Linked DNA regions of Xenopus tropicalis. The protein of the gene in region 1 interacts with the protein of each later gene in a biochemical or structural test. Links are inferred from orthologs where the notes say so. Each region holds a gene or a part of one and is shown in the gene's direction. Other genes may lie near its edges.

Region 1 (3,568 bases):
CTATATTGGTTTTCTGAAACAGAATTATATGGTGTTGTGCTTTCACATAAATATACACTAAAGCTGGAGAACTGCTGTTTTGTACTTCAGCTTGTGCTGTGATCTATATCACTTGAAAATAACCTTATGAATTGTAATTCAGACTAATTTAATCTATTATGCCATACAAAGGCAGTGAAGTCTATGGCACAAGATCATGTGTCCATCCTCTATGCACACCATACACCGGTGCACTTTTTTTTTTTTTTTAAAGTGATACCGATGCTAAAAAAAAAACTACATCTAGTTATGGTCATTTTGATCATTTTTTTTGTTAATAGCTCTGCTAAGTAAGTAATTGTTACTAATCCTGTTTTGCCAGCCTGACTGTCCCTTCTCAGCCTGTCAGTTAGAGCTTCTAATGCTAACACACTCCTGTTGCACAAATATGGCAGCCCCCTAATAGAGGAACATGGGGGATCAGATAAGTAACATGTAAAAAGCATTGGACAAATACTTTCAAGGCAAAATTTTAAATAGCGTGCAAAGACAGTGTTATGAGGTGAAAAAGGTTTATATTCTGGTGTCAGCATCTCTTTTTAAGTTCATATTTTCAAGCTAAAATATTAAGGGGCTGATTTATGATGCTTCTAAGATTGTCATAATGTAAATTAATAACATAAATTGTGAGTCAGTGTTTTTACCACAATCCTGCTTTGCATTACCTAAGCATGTTTTAGCTACAGATAAAAACCTTGCCAGGGTTTAGTTGGCAAAAAGATTTAGTTTAGCAAAATAAAAAAAATACACCAGGATTTTTAAAAACAGGATTGTGAGTCAATGCTGACCAAAATATGTTATAATTGGTCCATGTGTGGGGTCCAGAAATAATTGTTTTGGCTGACCAAACAGAAAAATTAGGTTGACCCCCATAATTTTGAGGATGGCTGCATGGGTTTATTCATACCTCCCAAGTGTCCCGATTTTCGTTAGTCAGTCCCTCTTTTAACAGCTCAACCCATAGTCCCGGATTCTTACTGAAAAAGTCCCTCACTTCTCTTTGATCTCCTGCACTGAACCCTAAATGATACAAACTCAGTTAAAAAGTAGCTTTTGGCAGAGAGCTCAGAAATCTTAACAAGCTATACCTGCACTCTGGCTGATGCCACACTCAGCGTATGGCGTATATTCTCGGCAAGCCGAAAATCGCTTGCCGAAAATACAGCCATACACCTCCTACCTGTGCCTGCACCCAAATGAATGGAATACGCTCGGGCGCAGGCACATGTAGCCAATATCTGCATAAAAAGGTGAGAGAATGCAAAGTCTTGTTTTTTTATGCGTATTTCGGCTACATGTGCCTGCACCCGATTGTATTCCATTCACTCCAGTGCAGGCACAGGTAGGAGTGCATTGCGCATATTTTCGGTTACATTGTTTCTCAGGCTTAATTAAATAAGTAGCTTTTGGCAGAGAGCCCAGAAAGTTAACAAGCTACACCTGCACTTAGAAACAATTGTAACTAATAAGCTAAACAGGTCTCTTGGGGGAACTAAGACTTGCAGCTTAAAGGGCAATTTCACCTTCATTAGCAAAACTGTAATAACACATGAAATGACCCCAAAACCCCCAGAAATGTGCTTAAAGTTTAAATAAATTTAGTAAAATGGGAGTGGTATTTAGGGGGCGAGGTAAAAAAAAATTTGCTGCATTACACGCAACATTTCTTTTTGTCCCTCTTTCCATTTTTCAAATGTTGGGAGGTATGCAACTTTGCCTAACAGTTCCATTTGTTGGATTTGGTTCAAGCACACTGCAGTGCTTTGGTTGTAGATTTATTCAGCTTGTGAACATTGTATTGCGGCTCTTATTGGGCACCCCAAGGCATATTTTCATATCTCAGAATTTAATTGCTTAATATGACCAAATTAAATTCTTAGTAATGGCTTCCTCAGGAGGAGATCATTTGTTTTGGTAATCATGATTTGAAAGTTGCATTTGCATATTTTAGCCGATTTTGACATTGCCAGCCCTTGAAATATTTATTGCATGATAATTTAAGCTATTGGGTTCAGTTATGGGATCAATTACCTGAAAACCTATTTTCCAGATAGCTTTGAGATAGGAATGCAGTTTAAGCATACTATTCTTATTGTTGCAAAACAATCCTATCAGTTATTAATATTAAATATTTTCAGTAGACCTAAAGAATGTTGCTCCAAATTATGGAAAGACTCCTTATCTGGAAACCCCCAGCACAGGAGCATTCCAGGTAATAGATCCCATACCAGGCTTCCCCTGCTAGTTACGCCACTGATTTCACCATGAACAAACTACACATGAGGTGTCATATTGTTATAAATGTTCTCATGAAGGGTTTAATTGCTATAAAGTTATTCAGAGTGCATGTAAGTTGCAAAAGTGCTTAGAAAAGTTTACATCAGTTTATTTTTGGGGTTTAGATTTCATTTATGAGACACTCTTACATAGCTTAGTTTTCACATAAATAATGAATCTCATAAAATATTTAGCTGTGTCACTATATATCAATAACATTTGTGTTAATGTAATTGTTTCATTTTTGTCGTAGGTGATGTAATTGTCTATATAAATGAAGCGTGTGTGCTTGGGTACACACATGCGGATGTGGTCAAAATTTTCCAGTCTGTTCCCATTGGGCAAAGTGTCAACTTGGTGCTATGTCGAGGATATCCCCTACCCTACGACCCAGAAGATTCTGCAAACAACTTGGTATCACCTTTAGCAGTCATTGAAAGGCCGCCAGTGGTTGTAAATGGAAGAAATAACTATGAAACTTATTTGGAATACATTTCTAGGACGTCACAATCAGTACCAGATGTAGCAGAACGACCATTGCCTTCTTTGCACTCTGTTCCAACAGACAGTCCGCTTGAAAATACATTTCCACCGCCTCCACCTACACATGATGATAATGTATCAATGGCTTCTTCTGGAGCCACACAAGCAGAACTTATGACCTTAACCATTGTGAAAGGGGCACAGGGCTTTGGCTTCACAATAGCAGACAGTCCAACAGGACAGCGAGTGAAGCAGATTTTAGATGTTCAGGGATGCCCTGGTTTGTTTGAAGGGGACCTTATAGTTGAGATCAACCAGCAGAATGTACAGAATTTGAACCACTTAGAAGTTGTGGAGTTACTTAAAGAATGTCCTGTTGGAAATGAGACTTCTTTGGTGATCCAGAGAGGAGGTAAGTAAATGATTGTTTTATTCCTACAGAGAACTGCAGGTTTTACTCTTTTTAAGAAAGGGATAAGCAGCCTGTGTCACACTGAGAGCTATTACTGCTACTTGTATTGATTTAAAAATAGGTTTCACTGTATGTTATAAAGAAATCTAGATATATTGCCCCACAGAATGATTTACTCTTCCAGTATTTGTTTCCCATGCAGCTGAGAGATAGATGCCCAGGAGCAGTAAGCCATAGCAACCAATAACCTATTTGCTTTTAAGCAGATGACCAGTAAATGCTTCCTGCTGATTGATTGCTAAGGATTACTGCTCCTGGGCAAACTTTTTTTCTTTTATTACATAACCTTAAAAAGTC
Region 2 (3,568 bases), on another chromosome or scaffold:
GTAAGGAAGAAGTGGGAAAGCCATAGGAAAGACGCCAAAAGTAACATGTGTTTATCTTGCCTAGGTGCTGGTTTGGTAAGAAAGCAGGAGTCTACACAGATTTTATCTACCAGGGACCGGTTATCCTTGTACTGCTGGTAAGAACATGCTTCAACTAGCGCTGGCTATTGTGTGGGTTTGTGCTCTTGGGTATGTAGGGTAAGTGGGTGCCCATACTGCTTTATTAAAAAGGAGAAAGAAACAAGGTGGCATTCTAAATAATAATCATCAGCAGCAAAATGTATGCCTCTATATGTTGGTAGGTCATTTTTCTGGAACACTCCCTTGCTGGTGATATCATATCTTCTTGCCAACTTCTACTTCTAACTACTTCTTCCTTTGTTAGCTAAAACAACATGGTGGGAAGCAAGAGTCTCCAGTCCTTGTCAGTGGATCTAGACAACAAAAAACAAGCAGGAGATTCAGAAGCAAAGGGAATTCAATCTGTCTGGCTTATTGATTGCCTATAAGGAAGCATTCACACTTGTGATTGGCTAGTCTGTAGGTGTGCTTAATTAGAATTAGTCTGGAAGATAAAGGGATACTAAAATGTAAAATATAACTTAAAACTTAAGTCAATATATCCAAGTCTAAATTCAGTTGACTTTTCCTGCATTAAAGTTCATGTATCCTCTGACAAATGTAAAGCTGTCACTGTACTGTAATCATACATTTAACAGGCTTTCTTAAAACTGGGTTTAAGCTCCCCTTCAGATTGACTTGTTGGGGTCCAAGTTTTCATTAAAGAATAATTAAATGTAAGCAGGAGCTGTAATGTAATTTGCAGGTACATAACAGGATTTTACAATTGATTTATGACGTTATGATATGGCAGACCAGGGATTTGGGCAAATCAGCCACACACAAGGATCAGTGAGTAAGGTAGATGAATGGAGACAATTTTTGCTCAGAAAGCGATCAAGATAATCTGCATACAAGAGGAAAGTCTTGTCAATGCCAATTTGTCTTAGTGTTAGATCAGGGGAACATTTCTTATCTATTTATATTATTGCCAGTTTTTCAAGATTATAAGCATTTGTGTTTGGAGCAAACGTTTCCAGACTGCCTGGGTTGAGCCCCCTCTTTCTAGACTTTAGGAACCCCGTAAGTTACGTTGTTATCAGGGCCCGACAAATGCCCAAAGACCAGAAGGTGAGAAACCTTTATCACTGCATCATGTTTGTGCTTACATAGGTCATAGTTAAATATCTTACTGATTTATTCCCTTTGCTTTCAGATCAACTTTATATTTTTATTCAACATAGTGCGGATTCTGATGACAAAGCTCCGAGCTTCCACCACTTCAGAGACCATACAGTACAGGTAGGGAAGTGGCAGGTATCCCATCACCATTTGCTCTCACTCCATGCACATTCCCTTCTCCGCATTTGTCCTTTGGCTCTCATTGCTGTCACCCTGATTTGCCTCCTTTCTTCTTAAGATGTTTCTTGGTTCTCATCCCAATTTCTGCCATCACTCCCTTGAACGTGTCCCTTATCCTTACCCACCGTATGTAATCTCCTTCTTCACATGCTTTCATTGTGTTAAATTAAAAAGCGCTGTAACTGAAGGACATGTCCCTTTCTGTCTCAAGGAGCCGCCAAAGCACCCATATGCTATACCAGCCTATATATATAATAGTGCCACCAGCTTTCCCATTCCCATAAACTAGAGAGGAAAATACTGTATCTGAGTACATCTGTGTACTGTGTAGAAATGTCATTTTATGTGTAGGTTCATGTAAGACTTATTGTGTGTAAAGCATACATACCTCCACGAAGGAATTCTTCCCAGCAACAGAACAGCACCTGTAGTCTAGGACCACCTAGGAGACCAAGTCCCATCTCATTATATTCACCCACACACGAAAGTCTTTTGCAAATTAAACATAACATCCAAATTCTTTCTTTAATTTAAACATCCATTCTATTAAAGTAAAGTTTATTTTGCAGGTCCCCTTAATTCTAATTTTGTGCTATTTTTTCAAGGTGAAAAGACAGATTTTAGCATACTGTAGCTACAATTAGATGGATGGGAGAATAATAACGCTTATGTACTCGTTCTCTTTGGAAAATGTTGCTCAAAGCACTTTGACAGAGCTGCCATCATGCGCCATTGTATAAGGAACTGAATTGTTGTGCAATCAGCCTGAAAGCCAACAGTGCACTCTAAGCAGGCAACCGATTTTTCCAATTCTACCATATTTTTAGCAGAAAATAAAGTACTAAACAATGGCCTTATAGGAAAAAGGGATATTTGTGCTGTTATTTTATTTATTCTTGAAAATTTTTGAACATTCTGAACATTTTCTTCCTCCCAGCAAACTGCGTACCTGGCACAACGGGGCATCTGCAAGCGGAGAAAGCTCCCTGTCTGTATGATGAGCGGCATACAAACTCACAGGTTCTTGTCTTGCTTGAAGATACCCTGTTGTGCCAGATATTGATTCCATATCTATTTGAGAGGGTGCCAACCCTCCAGACTGAGCGCTGGTTTACTGGGTAGAAGTGGTGCGGCTTTGCTGGCGATCCTTAAACTACATAGGTGCCATTTACCCTGAATTTGCTAGGACAGTTTTGGCAAGCAGACCCCAAAGTGGCTGTGTCTTTCTCAATGGTGGGTAGGGTTTGGGTGGACTGGAGTACCATCTACTGTTTAAGAAAGTTAGGTTTCCCCTGACTTTGTCCCTTCCCAGGGCTTTAACTTGGGCAGAGGAAACTGTATGTTTATTTCAGTATGCTCACACTATTTCTCACCCGCTACCATGTAAGCTGGTCTGTGTTCACAACTTACTGTTCCTGACAGGTGTGGTTCTACTATTGGTAGGTAGGCAGATTTCTACTCTTGCCTTGGTGCCACAGCCCCTTGGCCCAGGTCAAGGGCAGGCACTCAGAGCAATATTTTAAAATAGAATAAAATATTTTATTCAAAACATCCTATGGAAAGCCTTACACACATTTGCTACTGTAGACACATGCTGACCTCCCAGTGCCATACATGCAATTAAATGCCTACATATAAATGAAAGGGTTCATGTAATATTCTTGTTTGCAATCTTTTAGGAAAGCAGTTAAAGCCACCCTGGTGCTCCTGCCTTTGCTTGGGATCACCTACATGCTTTTCTTTGTGACGCCTGGGGAGGATGAAATTTCACGTGTAGTCTTTATCTACTTCAACTCTTTCCTGCAGTCCTTTCAGGTGAGTGGAGTCTGGGGACAGACATAAGTTAGGATTTGGGTGGGACCCTGGGTGGCAGTCATTCCCATATATTCAAGCTGCTGCCATGAAGCCACCCAGCTGTAAATATGAGCATGGGTGTTTTATGTTGGATAACAAGGAGAAGACTAATTGGGCTTTAGTAGGGATTATTCTCATTGGAGAACCCTCTTGCACCTCTATTGTATCTAGAGTTGGGTACATAGGTACAAACTGCATAGGTGCCATTTAGTGGGAATGTTTAGGTCCCATTTAAAGGTCACCTATCACTTGCACTCCAGATGGGTGAAATGTGTGCATGTGTGTGCCCCAG
Region 3 (3,568 bases), on another chromosome or scaffold:
GCTAAGCAGTGTAAATTATAAGAATATTAGTCACTGAGGGGTTCTGTGCCCCCCATATAAAGGCACAAGGCTGCAGGCTGAGTTATACAGGGAACTCTGAGTATCACTCATGTATTATAAGGGATAATGTACCCCCTACTGTAAATGATAAGGATATTAGCAGTCACTGAGGGGTTCTGTGCCCATATAAAGGCACAAGGCTGCAGGCTGAGTTATACAGGGAACTCTGAGTATCACTCATGTATTATAAGGGATAATGTACCCCCTACTGTAAATGATAAGGATATTAGCAGTCACTGAGAGGTTATGTGACCATATAAAGGAACAAGGCTGTAACGCCATTATATTATTTCTTTACTTTTAGTATTTGCAGTTGGACCCACAGGGTCCTGTATAGACTGTTTGACATAGCGCTGAATCTACGTCTGATGCAGTTGCAGTCCTTGGCTTATACTCTGCCTGGCCAATTTAATGTTTAAATGAGGGTAATTGGGTATCAATTGTGGCATTTATTTTTGTCCATATACAGGCAATGTACTAGGTGAAGTTCCCTGTGCATGACTAGTTTAGCTCTCATTCCATATAGATGAACTGTTGATTTCCCTGTCATTAACTGTTTCCCTTTGACATTAACTGTTTGATAACTCCACCAAATGCAGCTTCACCTTTTGGTGCTTCACTCCGGTCCAGCTTCCCAGCGCCAGTATTTTAACTGATTTGTGTTCATTAGAATGGGTAGAATAGTTGACAGAAATAGACTTTCTCTGTTTTATTCTGCGTGTACTTGTGAATCGCACCTTGAATACATTCAAGATTCTAATTCTTTTTTTTTCCCTCTGCCAGGTTTCTGGATTCAAAGCATAAAAATCATTACAAGATCTACAACTTGTAAGTATTCTGTGTTTATTATGGATAAAACAATAAAAAAAACCTTAGCAAAAGAAAGTATAGTGCTTTTCATGTCTGCAGAGCAAGAGAACAAGGTATTGTCTTACACACTTGTGTGCCTGAAACAATTAGTTTGAGGGCTCTAATGGAGAGTTCTCTTAGCTCTGTTGTGCTAGTGGAGTGATGAGGTTAAATGGAATTTTGGAAGGCTGCCATGTTACTTGATCTCCTTTTAAATGGCTTGGAATGGGGCCCATGCTATGGCCTGTTACTGTGCACTGAATAGAAATAGAAGGTACAGATAATGTAATTGACTTGCAGACTCTTGGAGAAAGCTCACACAAAATCACAGGTGGATTGAAGTTGCTGAAATTAATGTAAATGCAATATATATATATAATGTGTGTGTATATATTGTTGCAGGGTATTGCAGTATCTATTGCTTCTCTAACTTCAGTTCTTTTGCCTTTGCAGATGTGCGGAGAGACATTATGATACCAACAAATTTAGCTGCAGAGGTGAGTTCAGACCTCGGTTATAAGCGTTCACGCTGAAATATATATTTCGGTAACCATGTGTGAGTTGACGATTGACTGATATGTTTTGGAAGAGATCTTGACACTTGAGTTCCTGCTTGCAGCTCTCTTCTGCAGCTTGATGGGGTGAATTATGGGGCAGAACATTCCCCTGTGGACATTCTGGCTTTTCATAGGCCGAAGGAATTGCAGGAATCACATCAGTGCCTCTCTTAAAGAGGAAAAGATCTAACCGCCTTTTGTCACAAGCTCATTCAGTTGGGCTTCTGTGAAAATAGGTGTATAAACACTATGTGACCTGCTAAAAATAAATACTAGTACTTGGTTCCTCAGATTGATAGGCAGCCATTTATTATAATGCTCCAATTTGAAAATATAACTAAACAGTTTTGGGTTAGAAGCTGCATTTTGGGGGCAGCATCAGGTTTGCTGCCTTAGGCGGCAGTAGCCCCAGGATTGCCGCTGACTGGGGAGTCGATCATTTTGCTTTCCTGCTGTTGAGAACTGATACTTCCAGCAGCAGCTTTTAAAAACATTTGAGAGCTGGAATTTGTAGGTCGTGTGAACTAAAAGACTTTAGACACCCAGGCATTGGTAAGCACACTGGCTGTAGGGGATGTGAATGGGCAACTTTGGGCAAATCTACTAATTATGTCAGGGATATAGGGTTGCCATCTGGCCAGTATTTTACCAGCCTAGCCAGTCAATCACCTCCTGGAACCTCTATTACAAATCACAAATTTAATCTTTAAGATGAAGGGGACACTGGCTTTAATGCTTGCAGTCTGTCTATTTAGCCATTATGTGTAAAAGTGATTGGATGCAGGAATACTTCCATAACCTTCCTGTTGTGTTAGAACCCACTTTCAGAGTTGGAGTGGGACCTGCGGGTGCATATGGTTGCGCCTACTAAAATAATGCATATTAATATAAGAGGGGGCATTTGAGACCCCATATTTGTGACCTTCAGACCTTCACTTGGGATATAGGAATATATGGCTAAGTTTCCCCAGCTCCTTTTACAGTCATCCTTTACTTGAAGAATTTTATAAATGTATAAAATGAATTTGCCATGTCTTTAATCCACAGTTGCACAGTATCCGTTTGAAGACCACAACCCACCACAGCTAGAGCTAATCAAACCTTTCTGTGAAGATCTTGACCAGTGGTTAAGTGAAAATGAGAACGTAGCAGCTATACATTGTAAAGCCGGCAAGGGCCGGACGGGGGTTATGATTTGTGCCTATTTGCTACACAGAGGCAAATTTCCTAGAGCACAAGAAGCCCTAGATTTTTATGGAGAAGTGCGGACCAGAGATAAAAAGGTACGTCTGAAGGGTTAATGTCTTGTTACCTAATCTAGAAACACTTTCGTCGTCTGTTTGCTTTAATCCTAAAAACTGCCCGAATGTCATGTCTGAGCCGTATGCACGGTGTCATTCCATGAGTAGATTAAATATTGCTACAAGCCTTTCACCAGCTTGCCTGTCCAGTTAATGTTTTATTTCCTAATGGGGAACTTTAACCTCTGGCACAAACTGACTTATTGGCCGAAGCATTGGCTGCAGAGCTGCTTTTTAAATGGAGGTGATACATGTTAAGCTAAAATGATGGCCACATTGAGCTGTACTGTGGTAAATATTAGTCCCTTATATAAAGATCTCTTAAAGCAACAGTCCAGATAACTATTTCATATGACTGAAAATCCTATTGGCCAAAGGCAGCATCCAATTGCTTAGTCCTTGTCCAATGGGTTTTTGATGTCATCCATGGCCTCCTGTCCAACAATCGGATCAGCCTGATTCGACCCAGTACGTAGGTGGCCATATCGGCCGCTCTTTAATGACCTTGCCATATGAGCAAATCGCAAAATGTATGACCAGCTTTAACCATTTAATGCCGAGCTCAGACATTCCAAGCTCACCTTATCTTTCTCTTTCTAGGGAGTTACAATTCCCAGCCAAAGGCGCTATGTATATTACTATAGCTACTTGTTAAAAAATAACCTGGAATACAGACCGGTGCCCCTGCTCTTTCACAAGATTGAATTTGAAACTATTCCAATGTTCAGTGGCTCAACATGCAGTAAGTATCATTCCATTTTTCTTTTCATTCTCGAACTATTGCTTTCTGGCACCGACACT
Region 4 (4,023 bases), on another chromosome or scaffold:
CTACTTGCCGGTAAGCTACTACCCCATGGGAGGGGCAAGGAGCCAGGAGTTGTGTGGAGTCCCTGACAAAGGTTACAGTGTAATATCAAGTCCCAGGGTGGGAGTTATAGTCCCACATCACCCCTGGGTGGAGGCATGCCATTAACAGTGAAGACTCCCTGTTACCCCCATAGTAAGTGGGGGCTCACGACTTCTGCGCCAGAAGTAAGCCAAGAGGGCACCAGTAGCAGCACTGCCAGCTAAAGTGGGCTACATATGATTTTGGAAGTCTTCCTTAGGACTCAACGGCACTCTACAGATCCAACCTGGCCAAAAGAAAGTCACGATACCAAAGCTTGAATGAATTCCGAAATGGTTGTAGTCTTTGTGAAAAATATGACTTTTTGTGGAAGTTAACTAAACCCACGAAAAAGTTGTGGAATTTTAACGAAATTATCGTGGGCATTACAAAAATTTTGATTTTTTTTTTTCTCAAAAAAAAAAAAAAAAAGCGTGGTTTAATGAACGGCCCCTAAGGGGCACATTTACTAAGCCACGAACGGGCCGAATGCGTCCAATTGCATTTTTTTCGTAATGATCGGTATTTTGCGATTTTTTCGGAAAAATGTCGCGACTTTTTCGTTACTAATACGATTTGTGCGAAAAAAACGCAAGTTTTTCGTAGCCATTCCGAAAGTTGCGCAAAATCTGGCCATTTTTCGTAGCGTTAAAAGTTGCGCAACTTTTCGCGCAAGCTTTAACGCTACGAAAAAATCGGGCGATTTTGCGCAACTTTCGGAATGGCTACGAAAAACTCGCGTTTTTTCGCGCAAATCGTATTGGTAACGAAAAAGTCGCGACAATTTCCGAAAAGTCGTGAAGACGCTGAAAAAATCGCAAAAAATACGAAAAAGTCGCAAAATGTTCGTTTTCAAGTCGGAATTTTTCCAATTCGGTTCAGATTCGTGTCTTAGTAAATGTACCCCTAAGTGTTGTACAAGATATAAAAGCGATTGTCTCACTCAGAACCGTACTATTCTTACGCCTCATGCCACAAGATGGCGCACTTAGCGAAACGTTGCCCATTCTTTCCCGCTTAAATCTTCGGAGTAGTAAAAGCAAAGATTCACCTGAGGGAATGCGGAATGGGTTAGTACCAGAAACACCGCCTTTTCTGAACAAGGGGCCAATTGACAGCTTAGAAACCGGGAGGAGCCAATAGTAGGCGGGCAGGGCGGCACGTGCCCTTCTGTCAGTGAGTTAGGAGGAGTCAAGCGGTCAGTCTGTCGCCGGACACCGAGTAGTGTAGACTAAGTGCGAGAGGTGCAGGCGTTATAGCGGAAAAAAAGGACCTGGACTACGCAGACCCTACGTATCATAAATAATTGTCGATAGTAACTTAAACAGTGACTGAAAGCTGGAATCTTCGTATTTAATTATTTTGCGTTTCAAGCCGTGCAGGGTGCGCAGCGGTGTCCCTGCTTTACGTTGTGTAGCACCTGAGAGAACGCGTTGAAGATGCCGCTGGCACAACTAGTGGATCTTTGGCCCGAGGTGGAGGTGGTTCATGAGGAGACGGAGGTGAGAACTGTCAGTTGCGGACGAGGTTTCGAAGCTGAAGCAGTCAGAAAATGTTGGAGGGGGGGAGGTAGCAGTGTTTTCTGATTACAACCAATCAAAGCTACTTACGGTTAGAATAGGTCTTTTAGAATAGCATGGGTTCGTGTGTATGTGTTGCTGCCGCATTCTCTTGCGTCTCTTCATAAGAGAAAGACTGTGCGTGTTACCTGATGGCCTTCAGCTCTTTATGGGCTGCCGATATTCGTCACAATTTCAGTCATGCACTTCTTTCAGAGGTGGTGTATATTTACTATTTCTGAGCCCCCCACCGCGGAATTCAATTAGAGGCTGCACATCTTATGTTTCCCTACTGCAGAACTTGTGGTCACAGGTCGCACATCCCTCCTGCTGTTGAAGCCGCTGATCAACAGCCATTGACTGATCTTGGTATATATTTAATGTGGAACTGTATTCTGTAGCAATCCACCTGTTGCTGAATCTGCAGTTCCAGCCGTCCCCCACAGTTCGACTGTAGTTAGCAAGCAGCTGTAGAACGCAGGTTGATGTCCTCCTATACATTGACATTTGTGTTCATTAATTATGTTTTGAGAGATTGAGAGCTTTTATTTCAATAACTATATTGCAATAAATCCCTTTTTAATACAATATTCATTTTGTAAGATCTTGTGTGCCTTAGAACACAGTGTGACTTGAACATGAACTAAATTTCCTTAATGCTTCAAAAAAAAAAAAAAAAAAAAAAAAAAGATCCCAACTGAATTAAAGATTAGCACATCTAAAATATTTGGAATGCAGGTTCGGGTATTGAACCTGTTATCAAGAATGCTGGGGACCTGGGGCATTCCGGATAAGGGATCTTTCTGTAATTTGGATCTCCATACCTTAAGTCTACTAAAGGTGGCCATACACGAGCAGATCCGCTCGCTTGGCGATGTCGCCAAGCGAGCGGATCTTCCCCCAATATCCCCACCTACGGGTGGGCGATATCGGGGAGCCTTTAGGTAAAAAAAAAAATAATCCGATCGTTTGGCCCTGGGGCCAAACGATCGGATTATGTGGGCGGCAATGGGGCAGTCGGATCGGGGACCGCATCAACGAGCCGATGTGGTCCCCGATCCGACCGGATTTTCTAACCTGCCCGATCGAGATCTGGCCAATTTCAGGCCAGATATCGGTCGGCCAGGCTGCTCGGCTCTCCCCATACACGGGCCGATTAGCTGCCGAATCGGTCCAAGGGACCGATATCGGCAGCTATAGTTGGCCCGTGTATGGGGACCTTAAGAAATAATTTAAACGTCATTAAAACCCAATAGGATTGTTTTGCCTCCAGTAAGTATTACCGTAATTATATCTTAGTTGAGATCAAGTACAAGGTACTGTTTTATAATTACAGAGAAAAAGGAAATTGTTTTTAAAAATTAGAATTATTTGCTTATAATGGAGTCTATGGGAGATGTCCTTTCCGTAATTTGGAACTTTCTGGATAACGGGTTTCCGGAAAAGGGATCCTACACCTTTATATACTATTTCAATAGTTGAGCTTGTTCAGTTAAGAAAGTACTTAAATGTAGAAGCACTATCTAGGCAACTCGCTAGCCATTCCCTTTTATAAATATATATTTGGTGTATATGCTGAAGTGGATTCTTTCCACTAGACCACAATAATTAAAACACCCCACATTATATTACACTTTCTTTATTAAAGCAAAGGGCAGAGAGTAAATTTTAACATTTCAGGGTGCTGTGTGTTGATTTTGCTGGTGCAGAACTAGAAGGTATTGCATTGCTAACGGCAGTGGTGCACAAAGGTTTACACTATACACTGGTTAAATGAAATCAAGGGGGAGGATTAGCTAAACATGGAAAAAAAGATATCGCTCCGCAGGCGCACCCAGTTCAGCATGATAAAGAAAGTATGTCTCCTAGCTATAAAAAGAACAAACTATGAACCACGCACACATTACAAAAAAGCAAATTGCCATTAATACCTATCTGCTTTAATAGCTTTGACTGTCAGAGAAAATTAATGCATCTCAAATACTGTTTGTGTTTGTGGTGTTTTGTGTGCAATCAGCAATTAGATTTCAACAGTCCACTACTGTTAGAAAGAGACATGATTGGTTGCAGTTGGCAACTGCACTTTAGTTCTTATGTTTGAGGCACTGCGTGTATAAACATTTCCTGATTACTGACAGTCAAAATTAAAACACTTCTTCCTTCAGTTAGGTCACCTGAAGGGGAAAAAGGTTTACCTCATATTATACTTCTGCATAATTTCTAAGGGTGTCAAAATTAAGAGCAATACTAAAAACCAGGTTTACTTCATTATGGATGTATATACGTAGCATAGCACCCTGTTCACCAACTTTGTTGTTCCATGATTTAAGGTGGCCATACACGTGGCGATCTGACGATGTTTCGTACGACCATCGGTCGCACGAAACATCGTAAGATCCGCCACAC

Evidence for each region.
Region 2: the proteins of magi2 (region 1) and crhr1.2 form a complex in vitro, tested with the Homo sapiens proteins (2 studies listed by BioGRID and IntAct, with this or other methods). The link is inferred for Xenopus tropicalis from reciprocal best matches to the Homo sapiens genes MAGI2 and CRHR1.
Region 3: the proteins of magi2 (region 1) and pten form a complex in vitro, tested with the Homo sapiens proteins (2 studies listed by BioGRID and IntAct, with this or other methods). The link is inferred for Xenopus tropicalis from reciprocal best matches to the Homo sapiens genes MAGI2 and PTEN.
Region 4: the proteins of magi2 (region 1) and rps6ka1 interact in a test that uses a peptide from one of them, tested with the Homo sapiens proteins (2 studies listed by BioGRID and IntAct, with this or other methods). The link is inferred for Xenopus tropicalis from reciprocal best matches to the Homo sapiens genes MAGI2 and RPS6KA1.

The regions. Positions count from the first base shown.
Region 1 is NC_030679.2:78,531,062-78,534,629, reverse strand, and holds part of magi2 (membrane-associated guanylate kinase, WW and PDZ domain-containing protein 2), read left to right. Parts: intron 1-2,569; coding exon 2,570-3,211; intron 3,212-3,568. UniProt on the Homo sapiens protein: Seems to act as a scaffold molecule at synaptic junctions by assembling neurotransmitter receptors and cell adhesion proteins. Plays a role in nerve growth factor (NGF)-induced recruitment of RAPGEF2 to late endosomes and neurite outgrowth.
Region 2 is NC_030686.2:16,385,390-16,388,957, forward strand, and holds part of crhr1.2 (corticotropin-releasing factor receptor 1), read left to right. Parts: intron 1-64; coding exon 65-137; intron 138-1,276; coding exon 1,277-1,362; intron 1,363-3,101; coding exon 3,102-3,237; intron 3,238-3,568.
Region 3 is NC_030683.2:12,950,719-12,954,286, reverse strand, and holds part of pten (phosphatidylinositol 3,4,5-trisphosphate 3-phosphatase and dual-specificity protein phosphatase PTEN), read left to right. Parts: intron 1-843; coding exon 844-888; intron 889-1,362; coding exon 1,363-1,406; intron 1,407-2,513; coding exon 2,514-2,749; intron 2,750-3,367; coding exon 3,368-3,509; intron 3,510-3,568. UniProt on the Homo sapiens protein: Dual-specificity protein phosphatase, dephosphorylating tyrosine-, serine- and threonine-phosphorylated proteins.
Region 4 is NC_030678.2:77,585,369-77,589,391, forward strand, and holds the start of rps6ka1 (ribosomal protein S6 kinase alpha-1), read left to right. Parts: upstream 1-1,218; 5' UTR 1,219-1,497; coding exon of another isoform or gene 1,498-1,546; coding exon 1,547-1,560; intron 1,561-4,023. UniProt on the Homo sapiens protein: Serine/threonine-protein kinase that acts downstream of ERK (MAPK1/ERK2 and MAPK3/ERK1) signaling and mediates mitogenic and stress-induced activation of the transcription factors CREB1, ETV1/ER81 and NR4A1/NUR77, regulates translation through RPS6 and EIF4B phosphorylation, and mediates cellular proliferation, survival, and differentiation by modulating mTOR signaling and repressing pro-apoptotic function of BAD and DAPK1.